Linked DNA regions of Ovis aries. Each later gene encodes a partner of the first gene's protein in a complex. Links are inferred from orthologs where the notes say so. Each region holds a gene or a part of one and is shown on either strand. Other genes may lie near its edges. The genes, in order: GLI1 and SUFU.

Region 1 (10,369 bases):
GCGAGGCTCAGGGTAGAGCTTCCCAGAACTAGATCAGCGGTCTTCTGAGACCAATACTTCCCCTCGGCTTGCTGATTGTTGCGGGGAGGGGGTGTACTTCCTTGCTCAGGCAGGCAGGAGAGCCAGCCCAGCTTTGGGATGAAGACCTGTGCTGGAAAGAGCCCGCATGGGTGACACAGTCACTGGCTTCCATCTCATTCTGTGTCTCCCCAGACCAGGTGTTTGGCTGCCAGTTGGAGTCACTGTGCCAGCGGGAGGGAGACACCGTGCCCAGCTTTGTGCGGCTCTGCATTGCTGCTGTGGACAAGAGAGGTCACTTTCCCAGAGTCTCCTCCTTCTAACTGGCCAAAGTCCCACCTCCCCCACCCTTGTGTGCCCTTTGTTTCTCCACCCTCACCAGCACACATTTTAGATCAAGAATCTTTATCTGCTTCCTGCCTCATCTCCCAGGTCTGGATGTGGATGGCATTTACCGGGTGAGCGGGAACTTGGCAGTGGTCCAGAAGCTTCGCTTCTTGGTGGACAGAGGTGAGAAGGCTGTGGGCAGGTGGTGGTACTAAGAACTTCATGTCTCAGAACCCAAAGGTCCGAGTGAGAGAGCTGGCAGAACCGGGGAGGTCTTCTAGCTGGAGCTACATGTCTTAGCTCTTGATTTCTTTTACTTGTTGTAGAGCGGGCCATCACTTCCGATGGGAGGTACATGTTTCCAGAACATCCAGGACAAGGTACTTCCATGGAAGGCCCCTCCAACCTTTAAAAGTCTTCCATACCATCCCTGCTCCCTGTGGACTCCCCCATGTCCTGGTCCTGGGGTGGGGGGTTGTTCTCATCCCGATCTCTGCCCCACTGTGGACCCCCCTAGGTGCTCCATGGTCTGTCTTCACTGGATCTTTCCCTAAACTCCTGATCTCTTAGTCTCTGGGTCCCTGTAACCCTTCTTGAGCCCTGAGCCCTTCTGTACCTCCTTTTCCTTCCAGAAGGCCGATTAGATTTGGACAGTGCTGAATGGGATGACATTCATGTGATCACAGGAGCCCTGAAACTTTTTCTGAGGGAGCTACCCCAGCCTCTGGTGCCCTCACTACTGCTGCCTGATTTTCGTGCTGCCGTTGGTAAAGGATGGGAGCTTTGGGCAATAGCCTTGACACGGGATGGAGGGCGGGGGGGAGGCATGAGTGATAAAAGAGTAGAGTAGAGGTTTCCTTCCACTCCTCTGTCCCAGCCTGAATACAGAGATGGAAATTAATTTTCAATTAATGTGCCCACTCCAGTTGTGTATGTGTGAGTGTTTAAGAGGGCTGAGTTAAAAAAGAATTCTAAGATTGTAATTGGACTCAGTGAAAAAGAAAGCCATGATCGATTAATGATGTCTTCCCCAAGCACCAGAAAGGATACTGAGGTTACCCACTCTGCCTTAACACCTTTCCTAACCTCACTCCCATGCCCTTCCTGTCACTCTTTCTCTCCAGCCCTCACTGAATCAGAACAGTGCCTCTCTCAAATACAAGAATTAATAAGCTCAATGCCAAAGCCCAACCATGACACTCTGCGGTACCTCCTGGAGCATTTATGCAGGTCAGGAAGACTGAATATCTTTGTTCACGTCAGGGGAGGGTGGGGTGGGGCCTGCAGCCGGGACTCTGTGTTCAGATGGGGTGAAGGCAGGGAAACACCGAAAGTTAGTGGGTCATTGAGGAAATAGGCACTCTGTGCCGAGGATCGAAAACCTTTTTTGCTCAGTCAGAATCAAATGAGGAACTAGGGAACAAGACAAGTCTAGGGATGATGCGAGAGAAATAAGGAAAAATCTAACCTTCCCTCTGCCTTTGTCTTTCACTGGGACAGTGGGGATGACATTTGGCAGAGCTGGGCAGTGACCTCTGAGAGAGGATAGCCATCTGAATGAAAACCTCCCAGATGATGAGCAGAGAGGACTCTAGGGGCAGTCTCTGAAGTCGGGAAGAGGCGGGTATATCCTAGGTTGCGTCCTGAAGGTTTCTCCGCTGGTCTCAGTTCTGTCCCCCTGGTTCTTTCCTTGGTTTTCTTCAGCTACTGCATGGAAGGCCCCCAAAGTGGATTCGTCCTCAAACCTTTGATGGGTTAGATTTATTTGAACTGGCAAAGCTGCTATACTATGGTCCCGTCTCTTGGCCTTTACCCACAGGGTGATAGCACACTCAGACAAGAACCGCATGACCCCCCACAACCTGGGAATTGTGTTTGGACCAACCCTATTTCGGCCGGAGCAGGAGACATCGGATCCAGTGGCCCATGTCCTCTACCCTGGGCAGGTCGTCCAGCTGATGCTCACCAACTTCACCAGAGTCTTTCCCTGACTGGGGCAAAGAAGAGAAAACGTATTTCCAGCGATCTCTGTGGGGTAGCCTTTGGTGGGGGCGAGGGAGGGGGTGGTTCTGTTTTGAGGACATCCCTTTAAATCCTGTCTCCCGGATGGCCGTCTCCACCTTCGTGAGTCTGAGCTGAGGGCCTGGGTTAGGATGAGGAAACTTCTCTAAAGAGGGAGGTGGCTGGATTAGCCCCTGCTTCTCTAGCTTCTGGCCATCACCCCTCCCCCAAGATAGTCACAGTATAAAGCAGGGCTCTTTCTGATGCAGTTCCTTTATTATCAGGAAACGGTGTCATTATCAAATTCCTCCCCAAATATATTTAGACTGTGTATAGCCCCAGCCCACCCCCCCATCCCTGGGGCATCCCAGGGGGCTATGGCTCCTCCTCCGGACTTCCTCATGGGGATGGAAACCCCTCAGGAAATGTGGATCTGTGGTCCCCCACTCCTTAAGCACTAGAATTGAGGAACTGTGTCTCCCCAGGCAGGGATCCCAGTAACACACTCATGTTGCCCACAGCCATGTTGGGGGTCCCAGAGGGAGGTGGGGTGTGTTCAGAGCTGTCCCTCTGATCGTGAGAAGGGGGAGGACTCAGCCCCTGGGCCTCATCCAGAATAGCCACAAAGTCCAGCTGTGTGTTGTCAAGATCAAGAGAATCCAGAGGGTTACATACCTGCCCTTCAGGAGGAGGGTACAAGGCAGGGCCCCCTCCCAGCCTGCCCACCTCAGGATGGCCACAGCTGGGATTGGTGCCCCCTGCCTTGAGGGGCCCATAGCAAGCTGGTAGTGGGGGTAGAAGTCGGGGTGGTGCTGCTGCCCTGTGGGAAGCTTTGTTGGCCCCTACTGCAAAATTTTCATGGCATGAAGGGGTAGGATAGGCGCCCGGCTTGTGATTGGGCATATTAGGTGCAAAGCCAGGTCCATATGTGGCCACTGGGGCCTTGGCAGGGCTTGAGCTGACCTGGGAACCCCCCAGAAACTTGGGACTCTGATAGAGAGGTTCTTGGACTGGGGGGTCTCCCCTGCCCCCACCCTCCCACAGCAGCTCCTGTTGAGACTGAACATAATTACACACAAGCTGCGCCTTGAGGTGTCCTGTAGAATGAGTGGGGGACTCGAAATCCAGGCCCGGCCTGGCTTCTGAAGGCAGATAATCAGGAGGTGGCTGGGTATAGGAACCTGACTGGGGATACTGGGGAGGGGGAGGCTGTGGGTAGTGGGAGAACAGAGGCTGTGAGCGTGGAGGCCCCTCATTGGGGTGGGCATTGAGGCAGGGTGCCAGTCCTGTGGTGTCAGAACCCACGGGGCACCCCTGTTCTGGCTTCACTTGCACTTGTCCATAATGTTCAAGACGAGGACACTGGCTGTAGGCTCCAGCTGGAGCCTTGGGGCCTGAGTAGAGCCCAGAGTGGGACGGGAACTCACTCCATGTTTCTGGGGTTGGTTCAGAATAGGGAACCTGCGGGGGACAGGGGCTGGGGCCATAGTTGGTGGGTGGGCCAGGCCCAAGAGGCAGGGAACCGGGCCCTCTAGCTCCATAAGGCTCAGCTGCTGCCGCCTCAGGCCCTCCATATCCCAGAGTATCGGCAGGTGGGAAGTCCATATAGGGGTTCAGACCACTGCCCATCATGGAGGTCCCAACCTCTGGCTCCTCCCGTAGCCCTCTGGTATCCATGGAGACATTCTCAGTGATGCTGGGGGGCTGTGGTGAGTAGACAGAGGTTGGGAGTTGGGGATCGAAGTTCTGTCCTCCTCCTACCACTGTAGGGGGGCTGTGGACACAGCCCAAACTCTTGAACCGCTGGACTCTGGCTGGGGCAGGGCGGTCAACCGACCGGGCTGGGTCACTGGCCCTCCGGGTGACCCCTACATTGGGGTTGTATCCTGGATACTCAGCTCGGCTTCTCCAGGGAGGTGCAGGAAGAGCCCCCGTCCGATCCAGGCTGGGTGCTGCAGTGGGAGGGGTACCACCTCCCCTGGCTGAAGCATATCTGGCCCGGAGCAGGTAGTGCTGGGCAGGCGTGAGGCCAGGCAGGGAGGATGCCCCATTCTCTGGTGGGGAACCAGGGGGGAAAGGGGAGGCAAGGGAGGAGCGGCGGCTGACAGTATAGGCTGAGCTGACACTGCTGGAGCTGCTGCTGCGGTGGTCAAGAGAGACCGGGGGGCCCAGACGGCGAGAGCCAGGAGTGCCTGTAAGAAAAGACAGGCTGGCCAGGGAGCCCTCTGAATTTCACCCTGCCTCTCCCAAGGGGAAGCCTTGTCCAGAATTCCAGGGAAGGCTCCTTAACTCTAGCCACTCAGTTCTCTCCCCTCCTTCTCCCACTCCCTTTTTGCTTCTGGGTCATCAGACATTCAGGGTCGCTGTGAACAGTCCTACAGATTGTACACTGCACAATCAAAGGGGACAGCATTCAAAAGACAACAATTTTCTGATAGAAGGAAGGAAAGTATCTCGAGGAAAGGAGACCTTTTTCTAATTGTGCAGCAGCCCTGAAAGGTGAAGTCTCCCTCCCAGTCTCAGAGAAGGGCCAGATCTCAGCCCTGCAACCATGCCCCACACCCATCACTCACCGGCATGGCTCAAGCTGGGCAGTTTGAGGCCCCGGGGCCCCATCGGCCGGAACTGATGTAGCTGGTCCAGCCTGAGGTTCTCAAGGCGGCGAAGAGTAGACAGCCCAGTTCCCGCAAGGCAAGGCCCCTCGTCCAAGCTGGACAGGTCCTCCGTGCTGCCCCCTGCGTTTCCAGTCATTTCCACACCACTGTCTGTATTGGCTGCACTGCCTGCTGGGGAGTGGTCACTGCTGCAGGACGACTGGGCCCCAGGGCTCGGCTGTGGCTTCTGTGGGGAAAAGCAGGGCTGAAGGCGGCGCCCATCCTCCTTCCCCACAGCTCCTTGAACTTGGTGAGTGACTAGAGCCCGTGTCCCAGTGACTGCTTACAGGTGTAGAGAGGGCTGATCCAGTGAAAGACACGGGTGAACTGGGGGAAAGTTCCTAGAAAAGAACCTAGACTACCTCAGCTCCAATTTGTCCTCTGTAACCTTGGACAATTTCTCTGAGTTTCTTCATCTGAAAATGACAAGAGTAAGTTCCCTTCTCATGAAGTTGTTTTGAGGCGTACCTGAAATTATACTGGTAGAAGGCCTCAAATTATACACTAATTTCTATATGAGCTGGTTGGACCCAGGCACTAATGAATTACAGTAAAATCCCTAGATTTGAGGTAGCCTAAGGAGCAACACTCAGATAAGGGACTGGGGACCAGCCACAGAAGAGAGATGAGCATAGAAGGAGATGGACCAGTTGGAAGGGGCTAGAAAGATGTCGGCAGGGCAGGCAGAGGTATGGAGGCAGGGCATTGCCTCACCATGGCACCCTCCGGCACAGTCAGTCTGCTCTCCTCCCTAATGGGGCCTCCATCCCGCTCCCTCTTGGGCTCCACTGAGGAAAGAGCCGGTGCCCGGGGCAGGGGGCCGTCTCCTCGGTGCCGCTTGGTCACGTGGGCATCAGGACCGTGTACTGTCTTGACATGTTTCCTGAGCGAGCTGGGATCTGTGTAGCGTTTGGTGCAGCCAGGGAGCTTACACACGTAGGGCTTCTGTTGAGTGGAGAGTGAAGACAGCAGGCAAAAGAATCAAACCGGGACAATGCCAGGAAATGGGAAAAAGTGGTGGCGTTAAGTGAAGACAAGGGGACTCGGAGGAACGCATAGCACCCAAGGAAGGAAGGAGAGTAGGGCCCTTGGAGTAAAGGATGAACGGATCAAGGGGAAGATTAGGAAAACGGATAGGCCTGGGAAAGGGGAGGGAATGAACCCAGGGCTGCAAGGCCTCATAAATTCAGGGGGTTGAAGGTACCCTAGTTAGAATGGGTCTATTTTAGCTTAGCCCTTTGACTGGTTAGAGGTGGGGGAGGGATAGTAAGTGGAAATTCTTGGTTTCAGAAAGACAATCTCTGGGTGAATTATGCAGGTGGAGGGGAACTCACCTCTGTGAAGTGGGTGCTGAGCTAAGGGGTTTCTTATGGGGGAAGCTCCCAAGTAGGTGGCGTCTGTAAGTGGGGAGGAGGGTCTCCTGAGTGGGGCATTCACCTCATTGGAGTGGGTCCGATTCTGATGCTTGGCTCGGTCACTGGCATTGCTGAAGGCTTTACTGCAGCCCTCGTGCTCACACATGTATGGCTTCTCACCAGTGTGTGACCGCAGGTGTGTCTTCAGATTTTCCAGGCGTGAGTATGACTTCCGGCACCCCTCAAACTAGGGGATATGGGGTCAAAGGATGGCTCTCAGACAGAAGGACATGGAGATTAGCGGAACCCTGAATCTCAAAAGGGACATACATCAGAGAATATAATTCAAGCGTGGGACTTCCCTAGTCGTCCGGACACTAAGACTCTGTGCTTCTGATGCAGGGGACTTGAGTACAATCCCTGGTTGGGGAACTGAGATCCCACATGCTATGCAGTGCAGGGGAGGACGGGAGAGATGGGAGAGTGCTGGGACTATAGAATTCCCAAAATTCAGGGACAATGGTAGGCAAAAGCGGAGGGGACAGAAGTAGCTGGAGGCACTCTGCCTGCAGGGATGTGGAGATGAGGCAGTGAGCGCTCTGGATCAAGTCAGAGCACATCTCCCTGCCTGGGGAGCCCAGACTGTGTTAAGATGGGGTCATCCTGGTGTGTGTCCTCAGTCCAGGGCTTCTCCATTAACCCAAGTTGTGAGCACAGTGCCTAGGTCCACTGTACTGTCTGGTGCCCACAAAAGTGTTTTAATTTCTTTTAAAAAAACAAGGGGGAAAAGAAATTAGAAAGTATTCTAACATGTAACGTCAATACGTTCATCTTTATACCAATGCGGTCTATATAACACAATTTTTAAATGTTTGTTTGTGGAGGAAGGGACCTGTGATGGCAAAAGTCAGATTGGCCCCTGCCTTTGTGGGGAGCCTTGATTTAGGAAGGGACCCTGAGCTTGGGGAGGGGGTGCCTCACCGTGCACTTATGTGGCTTCTCGCCCGTGTGTCTGCGCATGTGCACCACCAGCATGTACTGGGCTTTGAAGGGCCTCAGCTCCCTGGAGCAGCCCCCCCAATGGCACACGAACTCCTTCCGCTCTCCATGGATGTGCTCACTGTTGATGTGCTGAGGGAGAAGATGCAGAGGCTCTCCGAGGTTCCCTATGCCCCTGAGATCCAGAACAGACCTTCTCTTGACCTCCCCACCCCACCATATCCCTCCATGACTTCCTGTCATGGGGAAAGAAAAGGCAGGAAGAAGATCAGAGCCCACATCTCCGTTCCTCCCCGTTTCTAAACAAAGCTACAGCTCCTCTGAGTTTCTGCCTACCCACTGGATATTCCATCTTTGACCCCCTGCCCTTAGCCTGACTCCACCATGTCCCACCCAGAATGCCCTACAGGCTCCAGCCAGCATTCCTGTTACCCCCCCAGGGCTCACATGCACCAGCTGCTCCTGGGAGTCAAATTCCTGACTGCAGCCATCCCAGCGACAGTCAGTCTCATACACAGAGTCAGGCTCAGGCTTCTCTTCTCTCTCTAGGTCCTCCCGCCCATCCAGCATCCCCAGCAGTGGATCCTAGGGTAGGAGAGAAAACCCTAGGGTCACCTGGTGACAGCTTTTGTTTCGTTCAGGTTCCAGAAGTAAAGCTCCCCACTCCCCATTACCTGTGTGCTCGTGGAGTTGGGACTGGACATATCACCTTCCAAGGGCTCCTCCGGGCACTTGTTAACCAGCACACCCAGCTCAGACTTCAGCTTTCCCAAAGGAAGGTGAGGATGATGAAGACAGAAGTGGGAGGAGGAAAAGGGACCCCAGCCAAGTCTTCCAGCCCTGAGTGTCCCACCCTAGCAGCTGCAACCCCTGAGTTTGACTTCCTCCTTAGACTGCACTGGTGAATGGGGTGAGAGAAAGGTGGGATCTCACTTGGAAGAGACTGACAGAACCTCAAGGAGTCAACCCCCGGCATCCATATTCCTTTATTTTTCTGGCACTGAAAACTTTGACATCCTCTATTCTTTCGCCTTTCCTCTAAAAGAAAAAGCCCACCACCCATCCACCCTGAACTGAGGGAAATCAGGTGATTCTCACCTGGCAAGTTGGGAGGGGTCCCTGGGACTGAGGATGTGGCATCATCCCACCCTGCGTGGGGTCATGGGGACCACAGGGCTGGACCCCAAAAGAAGGCGAGGTCCCTTTCTGGTGGTTCATCTGGGGTGAGAATCCCAGAGATGGGCTGTGGAGGAGGAGGAGAGGCAATCATTTAGGACTGTCGTCTCAGAAAGCCTCAGGAGTTCCTGGGCTCTTTGGAAGGTTTCTGGAAGACAGTATGGGAAACAGTGGAGACAGCCCAGGGAAAGTATTGAAGAGGACTTCCACACCTTTGAAATGATAAGGATTCAAAGAGGATCAGGTGGTTTGGAAGGCTTTGAGGTTTCTAATGGGGTTTGGCAGGGTCTTAGGGGCCTCTTAGCTCAAGGCTGTCTGCACCTCATGGTGCCGATGGAGAGGTGACCATAGGAACCCCCAGGAGATGCACAGCGTGAGTTGATGAAGGCCACGAGGGAGCTGGGCGAGGTGCGGATAACTGTCTGCAGGTCCAGGCTGGCGTCTGACAGAGGGGAGATGGAGAGTGCCCGCTTCTTGGTCAATTTGACTGCACTCCGGGGAGGAGGAAACAGTGGCGCTGGGGCAGGAAACAGGGGAGGTAGATACGATAAAGGAGTAGGCCCCTCATGCATCCAACCCATGAGGACTGACTCTCAGCAAAAAGAAACAACACTAGACTCTACCCTGTTGACCTCATCTGTGACCTTCTGATCATGCTCTGACTCCTTAATCCCATCTCTAGGCATTTCCTTTTCCAAGGTAGATCCCCTGCCCTCCAACACTCTCCCTCAGGACAAATCCCAAAGGGGCAGAAAGGAAAGACAGGTTGCCTGAGGCCTCACCCTCTGCGCAGCTGTTGGCTTCTCTGGCTGGCCCATAACTGTGGGGGCCGGGCATGAGGGTGGCCTGATGGCAGAAGGGCAGGCCTGGCAGTCCTAGGAAAGAGATACAGCTGGGATGGGGCATGGGAATGAAGGGCACATACAGTCCATCTTGAAACTCCAAGTAAGGCCCAGTCCCATATGGCATAGGACCTCAATTCTTTTTGTATATGGGAAACGAATGGGATAGAAGAGGGACCCCTGGGGCTGGGTGAGAGATCTGCCAGTAGTCAAAGTCCAGGGACTGGTGTATGTACTGACCTTCTGTCCCCATACTGGGGGCCCCCTGACTGGGGAGGGGCCGGAGACAACAGGGCTCGCCATAGCTACTGACTGGTGGTGGGGTCATCGAGTTGAACATGGTGTCTCAGAGGAGAGTGTGGGGGTCACTGCAGGAGGGGAAGGGAGACCTGCAAGTTACAAAGGCAGGAGGGAAATATGGAAGGTCAGATAAGTCACTCAGGCCCAGAACCCTGGGCAGATTACCTCCGAGACATCTGCCATGGAAAATCAAGTTGAAAGGAGCATCGCTCAGCTAGGGGAGGTTATGGAGAGAAGTCCCATAGAGACAGAGGCAGTCCTGGGGATCTTTTTAGGACTCCTTTTTAGGGAGGAGCTCTGCCTGGATGGAGTGTTTGTGTGAGTGTGTGTGTGTTGGGGGAGTGTTGTGGACCAAAATTGTGACTAGGAGCTTCAAGTGCTTTTTATACCATGGGTCCTGTTCTGACCATGGGGCCAGCCTTCAGGGATGGGATGGGGGGACTCAGGAGGAGAAGTGACTGACCTCAAGCTCTGGGCTGGCTGATCAGCCTGAGCCCCTCTCCCTTTCCTTCATCTGTTGCTCTTGGACAGCCGGTCTACAACCTCTCCAGTGTCCAGCAGAGGGAGCCCTCGCCACAGCCCAGACAGGCTCACGGGGCCCGGAGGGAGCCTAGATGATCTGCCCTTTGCTCTGTAAGGCAGAAAACTGTGTGTGGAAGGGGAACAAGTTTCCGAGGAGAGCCTCCCAGGTCTGCTG
Region 2 (11,169 bases), on another chromosome or scaffold:
CCAAAATGAGGTGTCTCACTGAGCTCAACCTTTTTCCAGGAGAGAAGGAAAGAAAGCTAGCTAAAGAAGCACCTTTCCTTGGAAGAAGTGAGGAATTAAGAATTCAATCTCAAATTGAATCTTGGCTCTTCAATTCATAAGCCAGGTGGTTTGAATACTGTTATTTAACCTTTCACGTTTCATTTTTCTGGATATTTAGAGTCCTATCTACCTATCAGTGTTGAAGCTTGAATAAGATGATGCAAACTAAAGGACCTTGCAAGTGCCAACGGTCCCAAGGACTGAATCAAGAAACCGAATCTGAGTCAGCTTAGAGCGAATTGGCAGTTCTGCCTTAGTAGAGGGACTCAGAGGGGACTAGAAAGGTAGCAACCAATCTCCATTGGACTAAACCTTTGAATGGAAGACAGTCACTTTTTAAATAACTGCCTCCTTCCGCCAGAAATAAGAGCTATATTTAGATTCTTTCGATTTGTGACTATTGATACATTTGCGTAGGTACTATCAGGATGAATAACGGATAAAGCACAGGATTAAAGTGCGACCTTGGGCTCACTTTACATTTTTGCGCTTCAGTTTTCTCATTTGTAAAACGAGGATCAAAATTCCTGCCTTAACTATTCACGTTGTGAAGATCCAACTGGAATGTATGCGAACCCCTCCGTTGTAAGCGCTGGAGCGCCTGGCAAGTATTATATTTAGTAATTTTTACCCTCAGCAACTAGGCGTTTCAAAGAGGAAGGTACCTCCCTGCTTGCTTTGTCATTCTCCTTTCTTCTCGACCTTTATTAACGGTATAATTTATAATCACAGAAGTAACTGAAATCCTCAGGCCATTTCTGGCATCACACTCTCAGACCCCACCCAGATACACCGCCAAGCCGCCCTACCGGCTGGGACCGAAGGAAACTTAGCCCTGCTCCACCCGCCGCCCTAGCCCGTCTGCCCCCTCCACTGGGAGTCCCCGAAACCAATCACAACAGCCCTCGTGCACCGCACCGCCCTTTGAAAGAGGAAACACTATGGCGGCCCGGAAGAACGGCAAGGGAACGAGCCAATCATTGCAGAAGGCTGCCCCCATCCGGCAAGGCCCAGAGGCGGGGTCAGCGGTCAAGATGGACAGCCAGAGCAGCCAATAGAGTTATCGAAAACTGGGGAGGGGCGGGTGCCGGGGGCTCACAGAGCGGTTAAGGACCCTTGAGTCAAGGGCCCAAGGACCCTGCTAGGACTATAACCCTTCCCTTTATCCATCCCAAGGTTCTCCTTCTCATGGCTGCTGGCCAGCTGGTCGCCCTATCTGCGGACTTCGGTTCGAGGGAGGAGAGAGGCGGCGGCGGCTGAACCCGCCTGACAGGCCGGGCCAGTGACAAAGAACCGGCAGCCCAGACTGAAACACGGGAAGCGATCCCTTCGGGGAGGAGAGCATAAGCCCTGCTAGGGGGATGCAACTCACGTTGTCGATCACGACAGGCTGGTTGGCGATTACATCGTAGGACTCCATGGCAGAAGAACCTCTCCTTCCGAGGAAGGAACTGCCAGCCCGGTCCGCCGCTAACGCCACTGACACGCATGCGCAGTCTAGCCGCCGGCACTGGGCAGCCGGGGAGCGGCCCGACCTCACTTTCGAAGAACTACAATACCCAACATGCCTTGCACCTGAATTAGCGAGCCAGGCTGCTTTGGAACCCCGCCTAGTTTAAGGAACGGAGCGTCGCGTTTCGACGCACAGTACGCTGGGCTTTGTAGTTTCTGTAGGTAAATGGAAGGGTACGCCTATTGATGGTTGCAATCTCGCGTCTGGATCTGTAGACCCTTTGAAGGGATTCTCAGTCCAAGCTGAAGTATGTAGTCTTCAATATTGTCTGTAGTTCGGTTTGGATTGATTAGTAACTCGTGAATGTTTGGATTTTACAGGCTAGTCCTTCCACTTGCCACTACTTCCCCTGGACAATATGAGGTTGCAATGTTTTTATATGGGTCTATAAGGCATTAATAAACATCTACCACCTGTATGCAGGTCAGAAAGCAACTGTTAGAACTGGGCATGGAACAACAGACTGGTTCCAAATAGGAAAAGGAGTACGTCAAGGCTGTATATTGTCATGCTGCTTATTTAATTTATATGCTGAGTACATCATGAGAAACGCTGGGCTGGAAGAAACACAAGCTGGAATCAAGATTGCCGGGAGAAATATCAATAACCTCAGATATGCAGATGACACCACCCTTATTGCAGAAGGTGAAGAGGAACTAAAAGCCTCTTGATGAACGTAAAAGAGGAGAGTGAAAAAGTTGGCTTAAAGCTCAACATTCAGAAAACGAAGATCATGGCATCCAGTCCCATCACTTCATGGGAAATAGATGGGAAACAGTGGAAACAGTGTCAGACTTTATTTTGGGGGGCTCCCAAATCACTGCAGATGGTGATTGCAGCCATGAAATTAAAAGATGCTTCTTCCTTGGAAGGAAAGTTATGACCAACCTAGATAGTATATTCAAAAGCAGAGAGATTACTTTGCCAACAAAGGTCCATCTAGTCAAGGCTATGGTTTTTCCAGTGGTCATGTATGGATGTGAGAGTTGGACTGTGAAGAAAGCTGAGCGCCGAAGAATTGATGCTTTTGAACTGTGGTGTTGGAGAAGACTCTTGAGAGCCCCTTGGACTGCAAGGAGATCCAACCTGTCCATCCTAAAGGAGATCAGTCCTGGGTGTTCATTGTAGGACTGATTTTGAAGCTGAAGCTCCAATAATATTTTGGCCACCTGATGCTAAGGGCTGACTCATTTGAAAAGACCCTGATGCTGGGAGGGATTGAGGGCAGGAGACGGGGACAACAGAGGATGAGATCATTGGATGGCATCACCAACTCACTGGACATGGGTTTGGGTGGAATCCAGGGGTTGGTGATGGACAGGGAGGCCTGGCGTGCTGCGGTTCATGGGGTCATAAAGAGTGGGACACGACTGAGTGGCTGAACTGAACTGAACTCAACCACCTTCTTAGTCTAATAAAAGGAAATTTTAGTATACATACAGCTGAGGAACATATTCCTAGAACAAAGGAAAGTATATTGCATAAGGCTTGCTTTTTTTGAAAAAAAAAAAAAAAAGGTATATTTTTGTTCAGTTCAGTTCAGCTCAGTCGTGTCCGACTCTTTGCGACCCCATGGATTGCAGCACGCCAGGCTTCCCTGTCCATCAGCAACTCCTGGAGCTTACTCAAACTCATGTCCATTAAGTCAGTGATGCCTCCAAACATCTCATCCTTTGTCGTCCCCTTCTCCTCCCACCTTCAATCTTTCCCAGCATCAGGGTCTTTCCCAATGAGTCAGTTCTTCCCATCAGGTGGCCAAAGTACTGGAAATAATCAACAAAATATTTTTGGTTGATTTTCTCATGTTTTTCCTGGAAAGGTGTAAACCTGGCAACATACTAGTATTGGTCTGAAGACTGACATTTGGAACTACTGGTACAGATGATCTTTTGGTCATTAAAACATCCTTCATCTAATAGCTTCATAACTGTTGTCTCTCTCTGTCTCTCTTTAGTCGCTAAGTCATGTCTGACTCTTTGTGATCCCATGGATTTGTAGCCTGCTAGGATCCTCTGTCCATGGGGTTCTCCAGGCAAGAATACTCGAGTGGGTTGCCATTTTCTTCGCCATAGGATCTTCCCGACCCAGGGATCGAACCCAGGTCTCCTGCACTGCAGGCAGATTTTTACCGACTGAGCTGCGAGGGAAGCCCAGGAACTGCTCTAGTATATCTTTAATTTTCATGGGGAGCTAGAAATCCTAGGGACGGGGGAACCTGGTGGGCTGCCGTCTATGGGGTCGCACAGAGTCGGACACGACTGAAGCAACTTAGCAGCAGTGGCAGCAGCAGAAATGACACTGATGAATGAGAAAATGGAATTGAGAGATTATGTGTTACTGCTTTCTAAGGAGCCCAGTGCATTTTTCTCTAATAAATTATTTCCTCTTTTCCTTCATGTTGTGGGGATCTTTAGTTAATAGCCAGTAGTCAGGACTTTCCGCCAGTAGTCAGGACTTTCCGCCAGTAGTCAGGATTCTCTTCTATCCTTTTCTCTTGAAATTTCAAGATTATTGAGTGGAAGACATTACTATAAGTAAAGTTATTGCAGGCAGGAAAATAATTTCCAACCCGGTGCCTTAGAAACTAAAAAATCCCGTTTTTAATGCTACATGGACGAAGGAAGCAATCCATTGTAGCAATCCATTGTTACATTTATGTTTAAATCCTTCTGAAATAAATAAATTAAATAAATCCTTCTGAGCATCGTATTAGCATAACAGTGACATGCTTTTTGTCGGCGCACTTCCCAAAGCTTTCTTGGGTCCCTAGCACCTCAGAGGATGTCCCAATATCTCTATTTAATCCTGGGCTCCTCCTAACGCTAGGGGGAAGCGAAGAGCCTTGGAACACCCCCACAACTCTGGGAGAGAGAGGGAGGCGGGACCTATTGTCAAGTCACGCCTTCCCTACCTGTGACTGGCACAGACATTGGCCAATGGAACCGGAATAGGGCGCGCCGGCACCCCGCCCCCTGAGCGCCCCGCGGCCCCCGAGGCACCCTCTGGCCGTCTCCACCGCGGCGACGGCCTGGGCGGACAGTGCGCCTTGCGCAGGCGCGGAGCCTAGACCTCGCTGCAGCCCCCATCGCCTCCGGGAGTCGCACCCAAGGAGTTCGCCTGCTGGCGCGTCAGTGCTCTCCCCCTCGTCTGCCCTCCCCGGTCCCCCCAGCACCCTACGCGCCCCGATGGCGGAGTTGCGGCCTAGCGGCGCCCCCGGCCCCACCGCGCCCCCGGCCCCTGGCCCTACTGCCCCTCCGGCCTTCGCGTCGCTCTTCCCCCCAGGACTGCACGCCATCTACGGAGAGTGCCGCCGCCTGTACCCAGACCAGCCGAACCCGCTCCAGGTTACCGCTATCGTCAAGTACTGGTACGTCTTGGGCCGCGCGGAGACCGACAGGGGCGGGCTGAGAAGGGTTAAAGCGCCAGGAGCGAAGTAATTTGCCAGGGAATTGGAGGGGAAAGGAGAGTGGTTAAAGCACTTGGAAGAGGGCTTCCTGCTGTGAGGGAAGAAGTTAAGGCTCAAGTTAGGAATGGGGACAAAGGGGTTAACGAAGCCTGCGGGTAGCGAAGGGTTAGCAAGGGAGGGGAGGATGAAGGGTTAACTGGCATTAGAAGAATGGAGTGAATTGGGGGTGTTGGTAGAAGCTGAGGGGGCGACGGTCGGAGAGAGGGAACTGTAAACGTGGTGAAAGGAGGGGGCGCCTGGAGGGGGTCTAAGTGGGCGCGTGGAAGCCGAAGGGGGGCGGCTGAAGTGAGATGGGGGAGGCGAGGCGGGGCCTGAGGAGCATCTGAGAAGGCTTTGGAGCCGCGCGGCCGGAGGAGCTCCGAGCTCGGAGGGCACGGGACTGCACAGGGTAGGGGCGGGTGTGGGTCTGTGGGTTAGGATGTGAGCGTTGAGCTTGTGAGGGGATGAGGGGGAGGTCTCATTTTGATACCTTCCGGATGAGCTCAGACATTCATATCAGTGCAGTGCTTTTGCGTTTGAAGTTTGATGGAGCAGCTTCTCCCGATCAACTTTCTGCTTACTCTGCACAGTTCTCTTACTCCATGCAGAGCTTCCTCTGGCTCCGCGGCTGCTTTGGTCTAGGTCACTGGCTAGAACAGGGGCAGGCTGGGTCAGGGAGATCCATGGTTTGGCTCAGGATTGAAGGAGGCTGCTGTTAACGACGAAGATCCGGAACTTGGACACGGGAGGATCCTTCAGTGAGATATTAAGAGTAACTTTGTGGGCTGGAGCGCCCAGATGTAGGCAACAGTTCCTCAGGGGAGCTGAGAGTAATCCCTAAGTAACTCTGTTAAGATCAGACCTATGTACACATGGACTGCCCCTGGGGAAGGAATGGTCTTTTCTCGTTTCCCATTCTTTTTGTAACCTGTTTCTTCGTGCCACCTCTGTTATGGGGACTCTTCTTCATGGTCTTGCTGAACTAAAAGTTGACTAAGAAACTAGTTGAATCTGTACAAAACCACTTTCATGCAGGCACTGTATTAGATGAACTCCTTCATTGGCTCCTAAAAGACTGTTCAAGGCAGGCACTTGGGGTGTGACCAAAGGGGAGGTACCCCCGAAGGGGGAATGAGTAGAGTGGATGTCTTTACTGGTTACCTTCCTTTAGGGCTGAGTCTTTTCCCTCCCTGGCAACCACTTACTTCTTCTGGAGATTGCAGGAGCTGGGCTGCCTAGGGCGGAGGCCAGCTCCCTATGTCTGTGGGAGGCTGTGGAGAGGCTGACAGTGTGAAGGGCCTGGGGAGCAACCACCTGCTCCGTGGGGAGAGCGGCAGGAGCAGCCTGCCTCTGTCTGGTAGCCAGAAGGAGGTGTGGCCTGCAGCACAGTTTTCTCTGGCAGGCACGGTGTTCTTTGGTTGAGAGGAGTTTTTGAAGAGGTCTTCTGAGTAAAAAGCAGCTCTTGATAACTTAATCACTCATTTTAAACTTTTTATTTATTTTCATCTACAAATTATGGCAATTTTATTTCATTTTTATCATTTTTTTTACCATTTACTTCTTTTTCTTGACTTATTGCTATCTGGTATAATTTCCTTTCAGTACATAAACTTTTTATTTTAAATTGGTATATAGCCGATTAACAATGTTTGTGATAGTGTCAGGTGAATGGTGAAGGGACTCAGCCTTACATACACATATAGCCATTCTCCTCCGAATTCCTCTCCTCTCCAGACTGCCACATAACATTGAGCAGAGTTCCATGTGCTATACAGTAGGTCTTTGTTGGTTTGTACCACTATATTTAAATATGTACAGTGATGGACTCTATTGGCATACTTCGTGAGAAAAAGGGGACCTGCCTCTGGCATGCTGTTTGTTCAGGCCTTGTTTGAGTATAAGGAGAAATCCCCTCTCAGACTTGGGCCACTGTTATTATGTCACCCAAGTGGACATGAAGGATAGAGTTGTAAAAGGTGTTGAACACGGGCTCCCCTGGCGGTCCAGGGGTTAAGACTCTGTGCTTCCACTGCAAGGGGTATGGGTTCGATTCCTGGTTGGGGGAGTTCCACAAACCATGAGGTGTGGCAAAAAAGAAAAAGATATTGAACACATGCAAAGGACTAAGATTAGTTTGGGAATCTGCTTTTTCCTCCATCTCCCTGTGAACCTTTTTTCCCATGTTGCTGCAAGTTTGTTAACCAAGTCAGGACTTATCTTAAAAGATGGGCCAGCATCTAATGATGAATAAAAACGATTGTATAGCACTTTGTGAAATTAGAAATGCTGCCTGGATACAGAAATAAATGAGAAGAAACAGCCCAGGGACTGGTTCTTTCTAAAATTCAGAAGGGGTTGCATAATTAAGTCCTGAAAGTGGTTCACTGATAAACCTTCACATTTAGGATCCTATAAGCCCTCTTCAGTGTTCATAGCAGGATGACTGACTGAGGCTGCCTCAGTTTGGCTGTGGCCCAGGGTATTGAGATTCTTTTTTCTTGTGACAGAAGGATGACTTTCTTGACTAGCCAACTGGGACATCATGGCTGAAAGCTGAGGCTTTACTGGTCAGGGAGCTGAAGTAGAGCTAGTGCCCTGGGTCACTCTGGCAACTTCCCTGTGAAGTCAGGTGTTCAGGGACTTACACTGAGGGATGATCTGGGTCCTGGGATAACATCTTTTTCTAAGTGCAAAATATGATGATTTTCCACGTACTCATCTGCTTCCTATCAGGTCTCCGAGTGAGTAGAACAGAACACTATGTACTTAGAGAAAAGGCTAATTTTGTTTGACTCTCGGTCCTTTTCTGCAGATGGAGTTTTGAGGTAAAGCCTCTCTCTTAGATGAAATGCCCTTTGGGAGACTTGGCCAGGGCTGTCAGGGATGTGGTAGATGGGGAGCACAGAAGAGTGGACACAGTTTTGCCCCTTGTTGCTGGAGGGACCTAGGCTGAAGGCTGGGCAGGACTGGGACTCGGCAGCAGGGAGACTAGAGCAGATATGGAGCCTGTAATCATTCCCACCTGTTCCAGGGCTCTGCCGTTATCATGAGGTCCTTGCAGGGGTAACCACCCTTTCTTTCTTCTTTTCCCCAACAAACTTCTCTAAATCCAAATGATTATAGAATTAGTCAAATGGTTTACCCACTCACTCCAGTATTTGTGCCTGGAGAACTCCATGGACAGAGGAGCCTGGTAGGCTACATTTCATGGGGTTGCATAGAGTCAGAGATGACTGAGTGACTAACTTGGCAAAAGCAGAGTTAAGGAAAGACATGGAGATTTATCTCTTTTCCTAATCCACTCCGTTGAGATTCTAAGCTATTTGTAGCGACTTTCTTGCAAGTCCTATAAATAACTTAGCATTTCCCAGCAGAGAATAAGGACTTCTGCAAAGGCAAATAATGTCCTGGCAAAAGAGGGTGAAACCAAACCTACTGGTTTTAAATAGTGTTTGCATCGTGTGGTACTGGCATGTTTGCTGGGATAACATACGTGTAATCTTTTATTTGGTTGGTTGTGTTCTTTCAGCATATAATCCCCAATGCCAAGTGTACCCCATCCTTGTCCCAGGGTCAAGCAAAGTTTTTGCAGTCTGTGGAACCGTCCGATGTCCAAGGCAGCTCAAGTACAGGGTTTGGGGGCTAAATGCAGACTTCCTTGTGCTAATGGTTTCCATTTAGTCTGTCTCTCGAGTCTACCACGTTTCCATCTCCATTCTGAAGAAAAGCAGGATTCTTTTAAAAAGATCACTAATTACTCTGCTAAAGGGACCCTTCTTGAATTAAATCCTCAGAGTGAGCTAATGACTGATCTCTTCCTCAGTTGCCTCTCTGTTGGAATTATGGGGAAGTCTAATGTGGTCCTCAGAGGCCCTGAATCATTTAATGTTCCAGCTCTACCTTTCAGGCAGCCATCTCCCGGGATCATCTTGCAGTTGCAAGACCTCACAGGGCTCAGCCGGGCTCCTGCTGCAGTTCTCTGTGCAGAGCTAAGCTAGCCTAAGTTTGGCCTTTGTCACTTGCATGATAAAAGACCAGCTTTGGTCTGGGGTGTTCAGGCTGGGATCTGGAGGCATTGGGTCTGTTTAGAACAAACTATAATTAACATAGGGCACAATATGGTCTTTCAGGAATTAGCTGTCTAAGAGGCAGGAGTGGGGCCGAGCCTCTGCTTCCAGTAACAATGCCCATTGGAGATGCTCAGGATGGTCTTTCAACAGAGGCACATTGATTGACTGATGCACTTCTTGCCTTGAAGCTTGGCGTGTTTTCAGGCACCGTGGAAGAGAGATAATCCCTGCCAATCCCACTTGGGGTTGGTAACTTGAAACAGAAGGAAGTCAAAGGGAGCAATCAGTCTGTTTTATTTCTAAAAGAGGTTCTACCTGAGATAGGAGAAGGGAGCCTCTTGTGCTTGTGTAGCTGGGCTACCTCCAGCTGGCCATCCTTTGGTCTTATCCTAGAGAGGTATGGCCCTCCCTTTAGTTCTCTTTTACCCCAGATTCGTCCAGGATGGGGCCTATAGGTTTGTAAGGCAGAGCCCTTTAGCTTCACATTGTCTGCTTTAAGGTTTATGCTGACATCCCTGTGTTTTGTCTTTTGCAGGTTGGGTGGCCCAGACCCCTTGGACTATGTTAGCATGTACAGGAATGTGGGGAGCCCCTCTGCCAACATCCCTGAGCACTGGCACTACATCAGCTTTGGCCTGAGCGATCTCTATGGTGACAACAGAGTCCATGAGTAAGTGTGTACTCTTGCCTTCTATCTCCCTCTTCCCTAGCCTTGAGCCTTATTTCTGAGTTTTGTTTTGCCAAAAGTGTTACTTTCATTTTAGGTTTGAGGGATTCATTAACAAAAGAACCACTCATTACATACAAATAAATGATTTCAACTTTTAATAGATTAACTTAATTTCAATATACAGTCACTAGAAGGAAAAGAAATAGAAACAATAGAGAGAAGTAACAGCGTGTACATCACCAAATTGAGCCGACACCTACATCCAGAGTTGAACAGTGCTGGGAAGTCCCGAATGATAGCAATCTGGAGTCCCAGTTGGGAAAGGGTACCGAGCAGTGCATCCACCCCACAGGTGAGACTTCATATTGCACTTCTGGGGGCTCCTGCTTATAATCCCAGGCCGTAAACTGATATCATCGTCAGTTTGGGTGCAAAAAGGCAGCTCTGATTTAATTTTTACAGTGGGGTTTGTTTCACCTTGTGAGTCACAAGACTTCTTAGACCCCAGGGGTCTGCTAGGCCTTTAGGGGCTTACGAGATCCAAGACCCACTCCCTTTCTTACCTAAAGTGCCGCCTGACTGACTGTGCCTGTCGCTTGGATCCTGGGCAGTGTCCATGCAGGTCAGAAGCAGGTCAGAGGTCTGCCCTCCTGCTTCCGAAGCCTGCACAAGACTTCCTCTATTTTGATTTCCCTAGCCAAGTTTTCCTGAGCAGAGAGGATCACGTCATCGTCCCTTGAGTTTGGCATTTCTCACGTGGAACATCTGGGTTTCTGCCCTCTGCCTGTAGCCACTTGTGCCGATGTGGTCCAGATCAGGACCTGAGCTGTACTCATCTGGTGCAGGAAAGTGTCGATGAGAGAGAATTCCAAAACTGTTAGGTTTCTCCAAGCTTGTTGTGATGTTTGAGCTCAGAGTACAGGCAGCATAGCTGTGACCCAAAAGCTGAGTTGATTCCTCTAGGTCTACTTCCTTTTCCCCCCTCTGCCGCTGCTAAATCACTTCAGTCGTGTCTGACTCTGTGCGACCCCATAGACGGCAGCCTACCAGGCTCCCTCGTCCCTGGGATTCTCCAGACAAGAACACTGGAGTGGGTTGCCATTTCCTTCTCCATTTGCCCCCTCTAGATTATTATAAAAATTTTAAAAGAAGCAAAGTTGAAAGAGTTTTACAGTGAACAATCAATCATATACCGCTCCCTGGATTTTACCATTAATATTTTATTCTACTTGCTGTATCATGAATATGTACATCTCTGTTTCTCTGTGGATGTTACCTACTTCCTTTTTACCTCTAGTTATCTGTGCTCAGATCAGCTGCAGTACATTTTTTATCCTAGTCTATCTTCCGTTTGCTGCCCTGTGATACTTCTCAATCCTACCTGCCTCCC

What was found.
Region 2: the proteins of GLI1 (region 1) and SUFU are in contact, whole or in part, in a crystal structure (PDB 4KMD), measured with the Homo sapiens proteins. The link is inferred for Ovis aries from reciprocal best matches to the Homo sapiens genes GLI1 and SUFU. Residues at the interface, in NP_005260.1 of Homo sapiens: Gly119, Ser120, Tyr121, Gly122, His123, Leu124, Ser125, Ile126, Gly127; in NP_057253.2 of Homo sapiens: Leu144, Tyr147, Asn153, Thr154, Phe155, Gly158, Asp159, His160, Val161, Ser162, Trp163, His164, Gln212, Asn265, Leu266, Ser267, Gly268, Val269, Ser270, Ala271, Glu376, Leu380, Lys398.

Annotation. Positions count from the first base shown.
Region 1 is NC_056056.1:162,167,933-162,178,301, forward strand, and holds the end of GLI1 (zinc finger protein GLI1), read right to left. Parts: exon of another isoform or gene 10,136-10,369; intron 9,762-10,135; 5' UTR 9,713-9,761; coding exon 9,613-9,712; intron 9,406-9,612; coding exon 9,313-9,405; exon of another isoform or gene 9,112-9,312; coding exon of another isoform or gene 9,048-9,111; coding exon 8,852-9,047; intron 8,598-8,851; coding exon 8,453-8,597; intron 8,119-8,452; coding exon 8,029-8,118; intron 7,940-8,028; coding exon 7,802-7,939; intron 7,487-7,801; coding exon 7,337-7,486; intron 6,603-7,336; coding exon 6,438-6,602; intron 5,946-6,437; coding exon 5,715-5,945; intron 5,188-5,714; coding exon 4,920-5,187; intron 4,539-4,919; coding exon 2,797-4,538; 3' UTR 2,604-2,796; downstream 1-2,603. Other genes in the region: ARHGAP9 (rho GTPase-activating protein 9), read left to right, coding at 214-312, 451-528, 672-725, 978-1,112, 1,470-1,575, 2,165-2,336. UniProt on the Homo sapiens protein: Acts as a transcriptional activator. Binds to the DNA consensus sequence 5'-GACCACCCA-3'. Regulates the transcription of specific genes during normal development.
Region 2 is NC_056075.1:22,875,751-22,886,919, forward strand, and holds the start of SUFU (suppressor of fused homolog), read left to right. Parts: upstream 1-4,591; 5' UTR 4,592-4,779; coding exon 4,780-4,961; intron 4,962-9,644; coding exon 9,645-9,779; intron 9,780-11,169. Other genes in the region: ACTR1A (alpha-centractin), read right to left, coding at 1,454-1,501. UniProt on the Homo sapiens protein: Negative regulator in the hedgehog/smoothened signaling pathway. Down-regulates GLI1-mediated transactivation of target genes. Down-regulates GLI2-mediated transactivation of target genes. Part of a corepressor complex that acts on DNA-bound GLI1.